2 linked regions of the Macaca fascicularis genome follow. The protein of the gene in region 2 purifies or fractionates together with the protein of the main gene of each other region. This does not show direct contact. Links are inferred from orthologs where the notes say so. Each region holds a gene or a part of one and is shown on either strand. Other genes may lie near its edges. The genes, in order: NAF1 and DKC1.

The links.
Region 1: the proteins of DKC1 (region 2) and NAF1 purify together in Homo sapiens (co-immunoprecipitation; 7 studies listed by BioGRID and IntAct, counting the BioPlex papers as one, with this or other methods). This does not show direct contact. The link is inferred for Macaca fascicularis from reciprocal best matches to the Homo sapiens genes DKC1 and NAF1.

What each region holds. Positions count from the first base shown.
Region 1 is NC_088379.1:168,112,194-168,120,098, reverse strand, and holds the start of NAF1 (H/ACA ribonucleoprotein complex non-core subunit NAF1), read left to right. Parts: upstream 1-3,445; 5' UTR 3,446-3,588; coding exon 3,589-3,959; intron 3,960-5,910; coding exon 5,911-6,085; intron 6,086-7,905. UniProt on the Homo sapiens protein: RNA-binding protein required for the maturation of box H/ACA snoRNPs complex and ribosome biogenesis.
Region 2 is NC_088395.1:160,882,632-160,890,556, forward strand, and holds the end of DKC1 (H/ACA ribonucleoprotein complex subunit DKC1), read left to right. Parts: intron 1-1,547; coding exon 1,548-1,666; intron 1,667-2,321; coding exon 2,322-2,425; intron 2,426-2,722; exon of another isoform or gene 2,723-2,851; intron 2,852-2,922; coding exon 2,923-3,001; intron 3,002-3,916; coding exon 3,917-4,054; intron 4,055-4,535; coding exon 4,536-4,604; 3' UTR 4,605-5,399; downstream 5,400-7,925. Other genes in the region: MPP1 (55 kDa erythrocyte membrane protein), read right to left, coding at 6,858-7,034.

The sequences.
Region 1 (7,905 bases), on a different chromosome or scaffold from region 2:
ACAAGGGTGGGGAAGACAGTAGGAGATAGAAACTGGAGAGGTAAGTAGTGGCCAGATCAGGTAGGGTGTTGAAAGCCAAAGCAGGGAGTCTGAATTTTATTCTAAGTGTGCTTACAAATATTTAGAGTTTTAAGCAGGAAATTACAATGATCTTATTTATTATCCCCTGTGAAGCTCTCCTATTTTCTCAGATTAACAAATTCATGGTTCTCTTTGAAAAGTCCAGCTCAAGTATCACACGCATTTTAAAGCCTTCTGTTATTGTCAGTGGGGCAGTGGTTGGGTGGTCCTGTTTAACCAGCTTTCCTAGAGGTGACTTCTCCCATTCAGTTCTATTCAAGTCAAAGATGGGTCTTAGAGATTGTCTCGTGCTTTGGTAGTTTATTCTGGCATCGCTCTTAAAAGATAGTGGGAAGAGTTTGGGGGCATAAACCAGATAGTCAGGGCTCAGATGATCAAGAGACTGCAATTAGAGACTGTTCTCAGTGTTGGGGGTTTCTTTCCCCTTTTTAAAACCTGTATTCGGTTGGTCAGTTATCAGATGTTTCTCTCATAAATGGAGTCGAAGCTACTCTTACAAGGGTAAGCTTTAAGGTTCATGAAAGTTGCATCTGTGCTGAAGTGGCCCTGTCTCCTGGAAATCACTGGAAATCTCCAGGGCCAGTTTGTATTACATTGATAAATACATTTAGTATCAGCCCCTCAAGGCACCTGAGTGAGCCTTATGGCTATAATTAATCTTAAAGCCATGATATATCTCTTATAGTATATTTTCCTTAATTTTCCAAGTATCTTCTGTCTTTAGTTTTCCTATTTCATACATCCTTGCATTTACATGGTACATTTCTCTACTATAGTACCTTCTGCTTGTTTTCAACTTGTCTTTTCTACTGAACTGTTAACTCCATAAGGGTAGGGACTGTGTTTATCTTCCTGAATGCATAGTTCATAATGCAGTGCACAGCATATACTAATGTTAAGAAAATGACTACTGAACGAACAAATGAGTATTTCAGTTATCCCATAACTTATGCTTCTGGTCTTAACATTTCTGTCAAATTCCAGTTTCTTATTTTTAAATGCCTACTGACATTTTTAATTGTCTAGTTTTTCTTCAGACTCAACTTCACATACCCACATCTCTTTCCAACTTCTCCATTTTATTTATTTGTTTATAGGGAGTTTCCCTCTTGTTGCCTAGGCTGGAGTGCAACAGCGCAATCTCAGCTCACTGCAGCCTCTGCCTCCTGAGTTTAAGCCATTCTCCTGCCTCAGCCTCCCAAGTAGCTGGGATTACAGGTGCCTGCCACCACGCCCAGCTAAGTTTTTGTATTTTTAGTAGAGATGGGGTTTCGCCATGTTGCCCAGACTGGTCTCAAACTCCTGGCCTCAGGTGATCTGCCCACCTCAGCCTCCCAAAGTGCTGGAAGTACAAGCGTGAGGCCCTGCACCTGGCCAACTTCTCCATTTTTATTGGTAATACCAACTTCTTTCTAATTTCCTTAACCAGAAATTTTAGAGTACTATTATTCTTCCCCTGATACTGGGGATTTCCTTTACTCTATTTCATTGACTGTAACCCTAGTTCAGATTTTTATCACCTAATTCCTGGAAAAATGCAACAAAGTGGCTGGCTGGGGAAAATTCTGGCTCAAATGTCTTCCCTTCTCAAATCTGTACTGCATGTCTTTGCAAGATCATTGCTAACGAAATATTTTATTCATGAGTTCACGCACTGTTCCATTTTCCAAGTATTTTTGCACACCGAGTGTATGACATGCCATTCCCTTATACAAAACCTTACTTAATGCTCACATGAACTAAATGAGAGTATTTTTATCTCCATTTTACAGATAAGTAAATTAGGATTTAGGTTAACTGCCCAAAGTCACAGTTACACCAATCACAAAATGGTAGTTCGTATTTTTATCTGTTTTACTGAAAAGGAAATTAAGATTTAAGTTACCTGCCCAAAGTCAGTTACACCAATCACACAATGGTAGAGCTGAGACCTGAACACAGGTCTTTTTAGTTGAAAACTCTGAGCTCTGCTTAATCATTATGCTAGTAAGTTAGTATACCAAGTTTAAAATCCTTCTTCACTTTGGAGGATTTCCATGATATAGCCTATCAATCCTACTTCCCATTTCTGCTACACTTGGATTTTCTATTTCATATTTCAAATATTTTTCTAGTTATCTCCTGTGCATTGCCCTTCTCTACTTCAAGTAGATTGTAAGCTTCTTAAAACCTTACTCTTATTACACTTGCCTTGCATTTCTATGAAGATCTACTGTTGTAGATGGCACACTAAATTCTCAGTGAATAATTTATAAAATCTTTAGCACAGTCCTTGGCACATATGCCTGTTTAACAAATGGTACCAATGATTATTATTATTACGCAGGGACTGATGCATCACATTGAAGACCTAATAGGAAACCAGAAAATTCTGATCTCTTCCTCAGTCCTAAGAACTCTACTGGCTCTCTCCACAATTTAGACTAGTGGTTTCCAATATGAAGTGAGTACATTTCAGTCTCATAGTCTCATCTCTCTACCACGAAACAGTGCCAGGTATGATATAGACATCACCATAACATGAACAAGACAGCAAAATTTTGACCATTACTACTCTCTTTGAGGGTACCTTGGAGAAAGGAAAATGGAATAGTTGTAGTTACCTTTTTGAAAAAATGGTTAAAGTTCTATTTATTGACAGATGGATCTATTGATGGATAAACTTCATTTAACTTCAAGGCTTCCTGACTCAAGTTTCTCATGTACAGGACCTACCACTCTTCAGGCATCTCCCCTGTTGTATAATCCCTGCTTTATTTTGGCGCTTCAAGCAGAATTGGTTCACGTTCAGCAATATGAAAATCCGACATTCGGGCCTTGAATGGTTCACATGAGGCAGTGAAAACGGTCGATTTAGAACCTCCCCCGCACCCCCACCCCCCGGCCCTGACTTTTTCTTTTCTTTCTTTCTTTCTTTTTTTTTTTTTTTTTTTTTGAGACGGAGTCTCGCTCTGTTGCCAGGCTGGAGTGCAGTGGCGCGGTCTTGGCTCACTGCAACCTCCGCCCGCTGGGTTCAAGCGATTCTCCTGCCTCACCCTCCCAAGTAGCTGGGATTACAGGCACGCGCCACCATGCCCAGTTAATTTTTGTATTTTTAGTAGAGATGGGGTTTGACCATATTGGCCAGGTTGGTCTGTGAACTCCTGACCTTATGATCCGCCCGCCTCGGCCTCCCAAAGTGCTAGGATTACAGGCGTCAGTCACCACTCCGCACCTCCTAGTCCTGATTTTCAAAGGTATGACGCATGTGTCCGGTTCCCGGGGAGGGCCGTCGAGCCGTCGCGCCGTCGCGCCACATACGTCACACGCTATTCGGAAAGCGTTGCTGCGTAAACGGCGGGGGCGTGTCTTTTGGCTCCTCCGCGTGTAGTTACCTGAGAAACGCGGGAAGTTGGGGCCACGGACTGTTGCTTCGGTTGCCTAAGTTGTTTTATTATTTCTGGAGAGAGCCGTAAGCTTGTGTGGGGTCTCAAATCCTGAGGCCGACTCGGTGCCTGGCGCGGTGTGATGGAGGTAGTGGAGGCCGCCGTCGCTCAGCTGGAAACTCTGAAATTCAATGGCACCGATTTCGGAGTTGGCGAAGGTCCGGCGGCGACGTCTCCGGGCTCTGCCCCTGCGCCAGGGACACAGCCGCCGCTACAGTCGTTTGAGGGGTCCCCGGACACTGGGCAGACCGTGGAGGTTAAGACTGCCGGTGAGCAGCCTCTGCAGGCCGTTCTGAACGCAGTAGCGGCCGGGACCCCAGCGTCGCAGCCGCAGCCGCCAGCTGAATCGCCGGCCTGCGGAGGCTGGGTCACCTCTCCAGGAGCCAGAGAGCCTGCGGGGGCCCCGAACTCCTTGGAGACCTCGGACTCGGATTCGGATTCGGACTCGGACAGGTCGGGTGCCTAAGGGACCCGGAGCTGTGGGGAAAGGTCTTGTATGACGGGCGGGGTGGCCGGGGCCTAGGAGCCTAGAGGTTGCCCGTGTGGGCCCTGGAGGGTGGGCAGGTCGCTGGTGCTCCGGTCTCATGTGTTGAAGTATTGGCTGCGACTGCCCTTTATTCGCTGCCTCTCAGAGCAGGTCGCGTTGTGAATCTGAACTTAGTACTCACTACTTTCCTAAATTTGGTAGCCTGAAGAGTTCTATGTATAGATCGTATCATTTTTAGTTAGACTTTAGAAAACCCGAGGATCTTAGGTTGTTTCCGTAACTACTCAGTTCAGGCTGTACTTTTGTGGTTATAATTGAGTTTTGTGTCAGATCTGATTTTTTTTTCCCATCACATGTAGGCTTTGTTTTTTGAACCACATACATTGAGGATCAGGAAAAGGATTATTTTGTGTGTTTCAGAGCTGGCTCTTGACGATTACGTTAATTTGTAGAATCGTTTTAGGGAACACGTGTTTATGAAAGTAGCTAAACAGTGTTATTTAGTAGTATTTTATGCTTCTTACGTTTTGCGAGAGCCTTTCCCCCTTGCCCCCACTTCTGTCTTTTAAATATGAAACCTCTGGGCTGGAGAGGACTCCGGCATGTGGGATGTTACTAAACAACACTGAACATTGTCTACAAATGGTTGAGTGTGTTGAGTGGGGTACTGAACAGGTTAACAAGATAGACACGTGTTGAGGAGGTGAGTAGTTTAGTTTTTAGGGAAGTCGTCAGCAGAGTGGGAGTGAAGAAGGCATGAAGGTAGGAGAAGGGTATGAAATGGACTGGGAGGGGGAAGTAACAACTGTAGACAAGGTTGGATTTCTTGGCAGTACTAAGATTGCGGTATAATCATCTTGTGGGATTTCAGAGCTCATTGTACTAGCAAAGAAAAGTAAATGGTAGATGATTTGGGGATACGTTTTGAAAGCAGAAGGGATATGGCTTCATAATAGGCCAACTTAGTGTCAGGATACTGCTTCTGACTCTTTGTGGGTGATGGCAGAGGATACCAAATATTTGAAGAAGTCAAAAGGGGTACAACTTTTTGCCAGTTAACAGCAGTGGAATCAAATGGAAACTGACGGGGAGAAGCAGGTTTCGTTAGTATAATGCACTTTTTCTTGTTTTAACTTGCTGTGAGTGTGGGTGTATAGGCCGTTCATACAAAAGTGGCCAATATGCCGTCAGAGATTGGACATGAAGTTTAGAGACGTCATAGCCTAAAATTTAGGCGTTAATGTCACATGGATGATGATTGAAATCATTAACATGTACGGGATTATCCATGAAAGTAGTACAGAAAGAAGAGAAAGTGAGGATGGAACCCTTAAAAATAATATATAAAAAGGCTTGAAGTGAGGAGCCAACAAACAAAATTTAAACTGAGACAGTGGTTTCTGTTAACGATAATTTCTGTGGAAGATAAGGACCAAATGAGTTTTCAGAAAGTAGAACGGTCTACATACTTTAGTAACTGAGGATTTCCCAAGTTGTCTGTAGACTGAGAAGAAACTCAAGCGATCTGGCAATTAAGCGATCTGGTTATTGGTGTCTAAGAGAGGTGCCATGCCCAGAATTCCCTTGTTTTAGTGATTTGTCACATGCTTGCTTATACTCACGTGTATGATATGTGAGACTATTGTAATAAGAGAAACTGGGTTATAGCAGAGGTTTGAAAATGTAAAGACTACTTTCCCAATACCATATCAGCTTTGAAGTGCTAGCTTTTGAATTAGAACAGCAGTAGTAAACATGTAGTAAAGTTGATATGTTTTAATTGAATCATCTTATTTTAATATTGTTAGAATAAGCAATAATAAACATGTATTAAAGTTGATATTTCTTAATTGAATAATCTTATTTTAATACATAATAATACTGGACTTTTTTTTTTAACTGTTTTCTTCTCTACAGTGAAACAGATTCAGATAGTTCAAGCTCATCGTCTTCCTCCTCCTCTTCCTCATCGTCATCTTCTTCCTCTTGTATATCACTTCCTCCAGTGCTGTCAGATGGAGATGATGACTTACAAGTTGAGAAGGAAAATAAGAATTTTCCTCTTAAAACAAAAGATGAATTACTTCTTAATGTAAGTACTTAGATGTATTAAGTTTAGTTGGCATGTTTTAAAACATATTCTGGTACCGATATTGTTCTAATTTTGCCTGTATCTGCTCCATAAATTTGAAGTTCATTCTCAGCCTAACCGGCATGCTTTTGGCATGCCTTGGCTTTCTTATATAAAAGAGTAGTGATCTGTATAATTTCTTAGGTTACCTCTAACTCTGCTGACATTTGATAATTTTTCCGATTGTGGCTCAACTTCAGCTTTGAACTTTACATTTCTTACATTTCCTAGAAAAAGATATTTCTTATGTCGATTTGCTTTCTGGTGGTTTTTTTTTTTTTTTTAGGGTCTGCAAGTCAGAAAATTTTGCCCAATAGCAATTGAAATTTTCTTTTTAATTGACTGCATTTAGAGAAGTAGAAGGTGAAATTCAAAGGGTTGAGCTTGTTTGGATTCCTATTGAAGTTTTTGGAGTGTTTTTATTATTACAGTTGGAGAAAACTTGTTAATTTTAGAATGGTTGTTTATTGGCACTTGATAGGTTTGGTTTGCAAAGTTAACTCTTGCAAGGTTATTTCCTCTTACGCTGTAAACATCCTTAGGAGGATGATGTTAGTCTGATTGAAACCTATAACCCAGGAGGAAAGTCTCAGAATTTCAGAACGTAGGCTATATTACCACTTTTTTTTTCCGCCTCTGCATATACTTTTAATTATTAATGCTTTAAAAATATTTAATGGTCACTAATCATAATTCTTATATAACATTTACATTGATGAGATAGTTTAATGCAAGATTTGAAAAAATAAAGCCTACAGGCACTCAGGAACCTTTTTCATGAATGGATTCTACCAGTCTTAATTATTTCTCTTTTTCTCTACTGATAACAAGAAATTCTTATCTCGCTTATGCTTTATACATTGAAAATCTTTGGATTTGTATGCAGCTTCATCAGTGGCTCATATTTTCGTGCTACAGATACGTTAATATTTCTTAGTGGTCTTTGTACACAAAGGCTACCAACATAACTATTTTCTGAAAGTAGGAGACTTGTTTCGTCTTTTTTGCTTGTCTCTTGATCACCTGTCTACATAAGTTCCTTTTAGACTATAATAACCAACAAAGAAAAGACCACAGTACTTCTGTAAATGCATGCATATTGTTGTCTTATCTTACTAGATTTGGAATTCTTACCTTGGGAATTTCTTCAGATTTAATGCAAAGTCTTAGCGTATTTGTTTAGGTGTTTTTTTCTGAACAGAATGTCCCTGTTTTCATCAGGAAATCACAAAGGATTTGTGGCCACAGGGAGTCTAGGAACAAGTTCTTTGAGGACTGAGTTCATATGTGATCCTTGTAACTCCCATAGTACCCAGTGGAGTGCTTTACAGATAATGAGTTCTCAGGCCAAAGTAATTTATGATTATAGAATGAGTGTAAGGCATTTTATATTTATTAATTCTTTAAGAAATTATTATAGCACACCTGCCATTTGCCAGGTGCTGTAAACAAGACCAATCCAGTTTCTGCTCTTGTAGTGTCTAATGGAGGGACACAGACAGTAAATAAAGTGGAGACAAACAAATTTAATTGCTAAAAGTGCTATTGAATTGTGTGAGTGTTATGTTTGCCTCAAAAGACAAAATTCCATTTGAATGTTGTTAGATTTTCCAACTTGGAATGATGGGTTGGTCTGTTCCTTTCTGAGACCATTTCAATGGATATTTGGGAATGATGGAAGAGGGAATTGTAGTCTTTATTTGGGAAACTTATTAGAAGTCCTTCAGACCACTGTGCTACTAGAGATAGGTAGAGGAATTGATGAGTTAGTTTCCCAGTCT
Region 2 (7,925 bases):
CTCTTCTCTGTCCACGAGTTCAATTGTTTCGATTCTTAGCTCCCACAAATAAGTGAGAACATGCAATGTTTGTCTTTCTATGCCTGACTGATTACACTTAACATGATCTTCAGTTCCATCCATGTTGTTGGAAATGACAGGATCTCATTTTTTTTTAAGGCTGAATAGTATTCCATCGTGTATATGTACCACATTTTCTTTATCCATTTATCTGTTGATGGGCACCTCGGTTGCTTCCAAATCTTGGCTATTGTGATCTCTTTGATAACACTAATTTCCTTTATTTGGGGTATATACCCAGCAGTGGGATTGCTGGATCCTATGATAGCTCAGTTTAGTTTTTTGAGGAACCTCCTAACTGTTCTCCATAGTGGTTGTATCAATTTACCTTCCCACCAACAATGTACAAAGGTTCCCTTTTCTCCACATCCTTTCCAGCATTTGTCATTGTCTGTCTTTTGGATATAAACCATTTTAACTGGAGTGAAATGATGTTTCATTGTAGTTTTGATTTGCATTTCTCTGGTGATCAGCGTTGAGCACCTTTTCATATGCCTGTTTGCCATTTATTTATCTTCTTTTGAGAAGTGTCTATTCAAATATTTTGCCTGTTTTTTGATTGGATTATTAGATTTTTTTCCTATAGCGCCGAGTTCGTTATATATTCTGGTTATAAATCCCTTGTCAGATGGGTAGTTTGCGGATATTTTGTCCCGTTCTTATGCATATGGATATCTAGTTTTCCCAGCACCATTTATTGAAGAGACTGGTTTTTACCCAGTGTATGTTGTTGGTACCTTTGTCAAAAATGAGTTCAATGTGGCTGTGTGGATTTGTTTCTGGGTTCCCTATTCTGTTCCATTGGTTTATGTGCCTGTTTTTATGCCAGTACCATACTATTGTGGTTACTGTAGCTCTATAGTATAATGTGAAGTGAGGTAATGTGATTCCTCTAGGTTTGTTCTTTTTGCTTAGGATCACTTTGGCTAGTTTGAGTCTTTTGTGGTTCCATGTAAAGTACCAGTGTTTTTTAACTCGTGAAAGCTTAGCTACTGTTGGATTGTCTCTTAAGACTTTAAATGCTCTGCACCCTCTTAGCGAATGAACCTTAGAGCTATTCATTTAATGGGTCCAATATGTACCAGAAGTAAGCATGTCATCAGGATTCCTTAGCTCTGTGAGCAGGCAGGCCAGCCATGGCCTATGGACAGCAGCAGAAAAGGAATCCTTAAAACTTCAAAGGTTCTGTGGCCGCAAAGGGAGTGTGCATGCCATTCCTATAGATGTCTTGAGCTGCAAGCCTGTTATGTGTATCGTTAGGTGCTTTGGTTAGGTGTTTTTTAACTTGAGAAGTTTAACATCATTTCAGAAGCCTCCTTCTCATAATGGGGGATTTCTTCCATATGCATATCCTGAGCAAAGGAAACCCCAATTAAAGTAGTAGAGCTCAGAGTTTTGAAAGTGGCATACAACAGTAGAGTTGGGGCTCATCAATTATCAATTCTTTCCCCCTTCAAATAATTCTTTTCTTTATTCAATGCCTGTAGCTATTGCGTTAATGACCACAGCGGTCATCTCTACCTGCGATCATGGTATAGTAGCAAAGATCAAGAGAGTGATCATGGAGAGAGACACTTACCCTCGGAAGTGGGGTTTAGGTCCAAAGGTAAGTGGTACTGGGTTGCGTGCTCTGCCAGGTTCTTTTGTTTGGCATTGTTGAATACTTGGGCAGCTATTGGTGTATTTCACCACCACAGCCTTGTATTGTGCTGGGCTCTGGATTGTTGATGAGTGGAAACAGGCCCTGTCTTGGGCCTTAGAGATTTCAGTCTGAGGGGAAACAGTTGGGCATTACTTACGTAATCACACAGTGGAATGGCAAATTTCATTCATGTTAGTGGCTACCAAGAAGTGCAGAGAGGTGGCTGTCACCTGGAGTGTCCACAGTGCTCAAGGAGTCTGGGCAAGAGATCATCTGTTAAGCCACACCAGTGTGAAGAGTGGATTAGGTGTTGATGAAGTGAAGAGGGGAGGGGAGAGTTCAGGGCAGTGGGAGGCAGCAAGCAGCATGTGCAAAGGCAAAAGAGTAGAGTGGCTGTGGTGGGGACATATGTCTGCAGAGGCTCTCACTAATAAGCTTTGTGACCTTCAACAAGTCCTCTGTGTGTTGGAGTTAGTGGGCGAATTCTGAATGCTCTGGAGAGGAGTTTGAGGCCCTGCTGAGAATACACCAGGGAGGAACCTTGTTCTATTCTTTGCAGTCACCATGCCCGCTTCCGCATTGACACCATTCTAATGTTGACACCTTGATGTTCCACCAGGCAAGTCAGAAGAAGCTGATGATCAAGCAGGGCCTTCTGGACAAGTACGGGAAGCCCACAGAGAGTACGCCTGCCACCTGGAAGCAGGAGTATGTTGACTACAGGTGAGGGCAGGATGTTTCAGAGCCAGGGGTGGGTAGAGACAGCACACATGCTGCCTTGATGCAGGAGTACGTCAACAACAGGTGAGGATGGGAGGGTAGAGAGTGCCCACTTGCCATTTGGATGCAGGAGTACATAGACGACAGGTGAGGGACAGGTGAGCACGGAGGTTGTAGAGCCCAGGGGAGGGGGAGTCACTTGGTTTGGGGCAAACTTGCTAAATGCAGGACCACAGGAACCAGCTCTTTGGCTCCCATGAAGTCTTGGCTGCCCAGGCCAGTTAGGGGTGTGGGCCTGCACGGCAGACAGTTACCCCTTTCTAGTCTGGCTCGTGGGACTCTAGAGGGATTCAGTCTGCAACAGTAAGTGGTGAGTTCTTCTGTCCAGCGTCAGTATTTTGATGGTGGTTTGAGACTTGCCAGATAACACTACATAACATCAGTACTGCCCTGGAAAGCCATTCAGTGAATTTGACTTATTGCTACCTCTTCTCTTTCAGTGAGACTGCCAAAAAAGAGGTGGTTGCTGAAGTGGTAAAAGCCCCGCAGGTAGTTGCCGAAGCAGCAAAAACTGCGAAGGTGAGTGGCATATGCTGTAATCAGTTTGGAATGTGCTTAGGGAGATAATCCTAAGAGGCACTGGCATTCGTCTTACTTTGTGACTGTCTGCAGTCTAGCCATATACCCTGGCGTCAGAGGTGTAGTGCATACACAGGTAATGCTGCCTTATACCCTGGGGTGCTTGTTTGGGCTCTGCAGGCTCCTCTGATTTGTATTCCCTGTCGTATCTGCTGGGAGGAGGAATGTGGGCTCAGGAATCAGATCGGCCTCGACTCCTACCTCAGCTATGGCAGCAACACAGGGATAGAATGGGTGCTGGTGTGTGTGTCATTCTGGCCCCCGCCCTGGGTCAAATGGTAGGACACATGTGTTGAAATCAGAGGCCATGGCTCTTGGACACTCGAGGCCATACGAAATTCAGCAGAGAACAGAATTGCATTTTAACTCGGCACCACCTGGTGTTGAAAGAGTCAGTCAAGCATGGGGTGGCAACTCCACCCCATGTTGCTGCTGGCATTAGTGCACAGAATGACAGGTCTGTACTCAGAAACGGGGGGCGGTACTGAGTATCCTGCACAAGGCTGTGTGGGAGGAGCTTCTGACTTGTCAGATGTGAATTCTTGCTTTGCCTGCTTTCTGTGAGAGGTCCTTGCAGTCGTGAAAGAAACAGCTTCTCTGGGCCTTTCCATCCCCAAGCCCCATGCTGCTGCTGTGCTGCTCCTCTCTGCCTGCCTCAAGGCTTCTTGGATTTGGGGGATGAGACTGTCTTCAAATCCTCAGTAAACTAAAGCCTTGTCCGGGTTTGTAGTCACAAAACGTCCTGTTGGATTCAGTTGGGATCTTTCTCGGTGCCTCACTACCTTTTGACTCACTGAACCTTTCTTGTCCATTATTGCCCAATATCTAACACTTAACCAATTGCTTTCATCTCAGCGGAAGCGAGAGAGTGACAGTGAAAGTGACGAGACCCCTCCAGCAGCTCCTCAGTTGATCAAGAAGGAAAAGAAGAAGAGTAAGAAGGACAAGAAGGCCAAGGCTGGTCTGGAGAGCGGGGCCGAGCCTGGAGATGGGGTGTGTGGAGATATGTTCAGGTTCCTTGGGCTGGCTTAGTCCCTCCATGGGGAAAGAATTACCCAGGTGGTACCAGCTTTGTTACTCTTCTTGGAGGAGCTGTGGCCTGGGGGTGGCATGCGACTGAGTGCCTTTAGTGCTTCCCCATGTTCCTGGACTGCTTTTGCCCTCCCTGTGGAATGGACAGATAGAGGTACTCGGCATCTACCACTTACACTTACAGCTCTATTGACGGTGGGGTGGAGAGGATGTGTAGGATGGTGATCTGAATGTTTCTACTTCCAAAAGTAGACCACTAGGGTGTCACTGAAAGGTTCGCAGAACTTTGTGTCACATGTAGTATTTAACCCAAAATATCCTTACAGGTCCTGAAAAAAGGCTTGCTTGACTGTGGACCTTTACCAGATTTCCTTCTGGGAGAGTGATAGCTTTGTTAGTGGATCCCATGGTATCTATAAGCTTTCATTCTCTTTCTTTCTAGGACAGTGATACCACCAAGAAGAAGAAGAAGAAGAAGAAAGCAAAAGAGGTAGAATTGGTTTCTGAGTAGTGAAGGCCACTTGAAGCATTGTGTCCAGCTGGAGGAGAAACTAAAGCCTTATTAAGAAAACATGTTATAGATCCTTTTGTTGCTGAGAGAGTGGAACATAGGTCCTAGACAGGGTGAAGAGTTCCGGCACATTTTAGCTGCTACTTTGAGACCTCGGTGATGTTACCTGGTGTGGTCATCCCATCTTGTCCTGTTTTAAGGATATGGGTGATGAAAGAGGCAGAGTTTATCCCAATGACTTCTCGGTTTGAGCCTCACCTTCAGACCCAGTAACTGTCCGCAGCTGTCTGCTAGTGGTTGTCTTAACATCATAGTCCTAGTTTGCATTTTTTTATCCCCTCTGTTTATAAGGTTTGTAAAACAAAACAAAAAACTAAGTCTGCTCAGTGAAATGGTGTAGAACCGTAAATAAGTGATAGAAGAGTGTCACTGAATTTTGTCTCTGAATTCAGTATAACTGAGTTTTGTCCATGCTGGTGTCTGACGGGCCTGGTGGTTTTCCATCTTGTTCTGGCCTAGAGGTCAGTCCTTTGCACTTCCTCAAAGCTTCTGTACAGTGTTCACCTAAATCCATCTGACTACTTGTTCCTGTGCCGTCTTGTTTTAGGCCTCGTTTACTTTTAAAGAATGAAATTGTTCATTGCTGGGAGAAGAATGTTGTAATTTTTACTTATTAAAGTCAATTTGTTAAGTTTTTAATGTATTCCTGTTGGGTTTTCTTGTTGGTGATCTCATGCTAGCAGAGCAAAAATTGTAAAATATTTTGATTAAAAATCTAGGGACCTTTATGTTCTATTTGAAGTGTGATGCTTTTATGTTTTCTGGCTTTTACATTTTCGTTCTGTATCTTACACAGTTCACCTTGGGCCCTGTCATCTGATGTGAGTACTCAGGCAGTGATTACCACAAAACCAGTGATCTGTAGAAGAACAGAGGAGAGGGTTGATGTATTTATACATAGTGGGCCTGGCAGGAGGGAGGCAGGGTGAGTCGGGAGAAGGAAGCTGAAAGTTAGGGACATTCAGGAATCTGAAGGCCTTGGTGACAGATTAGTGGAAGAAAGGTCTAGGGTTGCTTCCAATTTGGTATTAAGAGCCAAGAAAGAGGCCGGGTGTGGTGGCTTACACCTGTAATCCCATCAACTTTGGGAGGCTGAGGCAGGCAGATCACCTGAGGTCAGGAGTTTGAGACCAGCCTGGTTAACATGGCAAAACCCATCTCTACTAAAAATACAAAAATTAGCCAGGTGTGGTGGTGTGCACCTGTAATCCCAGCTACTTGGGAGGCTGAGGCAGGAGAGTCCCTTGAACCTGGGAGGTGGAGGTTGCAGTGAGCCGAGATCCTGCCACTGCACTCCAGCCTGGGCAAAGCAGTGAGACTGTCTCAAAAAAAGAAAAAAAGTGTCGCTTCCTGGGGGAGTCCTTGGATGCAGTGAGGAGAGGCCCTGAGCTGTAGCCACATTATGAGCCAGGCGTGCAGAGTGGACCCCAGCCCTGGCTCAGTGACCAGCCTCCACTGTACCACAGGACCCCAGGCTAGGATTTTCTCTAAATATGTGCCCACAATGGGCTTTCCTCCAGATATGACAACCTTAGGGTGTTTTTCTACATGGGCACTAGCCAGTAGAGACCTGCAGTGGGGGCACAGAGAATGGGGATTCTTCCAGGGCACTGGTGTTTATCATCTTGTGTTAATGCCGTTGTCCAGGAGCTTAAGTGAAATGGACCACATTTCTTTGTGTGGAAACCCAGAGTTACAAGGTCATTGGCATTTTAACACAGCATTTTTATTGCTTTTGAAGGTTTCCCTAGAGCAGACGTCATTCTATTGCACAGATGTGTCATTTTGGCATTATAGAAAGTTGCAGTTAAAAACGCTTTCTCCAAAATAAAAAGACAAACGAGATACAGTTGAAGGCAAAGGAGGGCAGGCTTTAGAGGGATGGGGTCGTTGCTTTTGCTGTGCATCATCCTTGATCTAGCAGTTACGTTTTGGTAGTACTGCTTACCCCCAATTTCTAGAAATCCTTTTGAAATCCAGATTACTGGGGCCCCATCTATCAGGAAAATCAAATCCCAACCCTTCAGGAGCCTGAGCAAGAAGACTGAACCCTACTGGCTTAATTAGGATAGCAGCAGAGAGCTGGAAGCTGACACAAAACTAGTTGGAGCAGCCCTGTTTGTCTTAAAGCAAGGGGGGTGGAGTTCCAAATGCTGGAGAGGGGCATACAGTGGGTTCCCCCATTCTATGAGCTTAGTAAACCCAGGAGACAGGCACCCACTGTGGAGAACTGCACGCTTGGTCGAAGGCTTCTTGTAATTTCTTAAGGGTTTCATCAACACTATTATTGACCAGTGAGAGGTCAAAGTAGTGAGCGTACTGGCTGCGGATGGCCTCAGAGTCCTTCTGCAGCTGCTGCAGGGCTTCTGTCTGCAAAGAAGAAAGCCACAGATGAAGCAAGCTGCACCACCCCCAGCCCAGAGAGGCCAGTGACAGATTTTAAAGAGCAATTGTTAGCGCTGCTCAGCTGTGCATCATACTTGAAGAGTCAAACTTGGAAGACATTGTGAAAGAATGTTAATATAGGGCATGAAGAGGCAATCTCAAAAGACCATGGCAATTCTCAGAGGATCTCAAGCTAACCCTGACCAATCAGAGCCCTCTGGAGAACCAATAGCTATGCAGAGACAGCATGGACTTCACCAGCATCTCCTATTAACGCCCTTTGAACATGGAAGAGCCATTTCAACAAGCACCAGAGCTGCAATACTAAAACAAAGATAAAGGTGATTTTGTTTTGTTTTGTTTTGAGATAGAGTCTTGCTCTGTGGCCCAGGCTGGAGTACAGTGGCACAATCTTGGCTCACTGCAACCTCTGCCTGCTGGGTTCAAGCAATTCTCGTGCCTCAGCCTCCCGAGTAGCTGGGATTACAGGCATGTGCCACCACATCTGGCTAATTTTTGTATTTTTAGTAGAGACAGGGTTTTGCCATGTTGGCCAGGCTGGTCTCGAACTTCGGACCTCAGGTGATCCACCCACCTCGGCCTCTTAAAGTGCTGGGATTACAGGCATGAGCCACTGCACCCAGTCAGATAAAGGCGATTTCTAATCCCAGAGCACACCTGTAATCCCAGCACTTTGGAAGGCCGAGGCAAGATGATTGCTTGAGCACAGGAGTTCAAGACCAGCCTGGACAACACAGTGAGACCCCATTTCTACAAAAAACAAACAAAATTTAAAAATGTGTGTGTATATATCTCACGACTCTTTGACCTAAAACCAAGCAGCCATGAAAGACAAATGATGTAACTACATAAAAG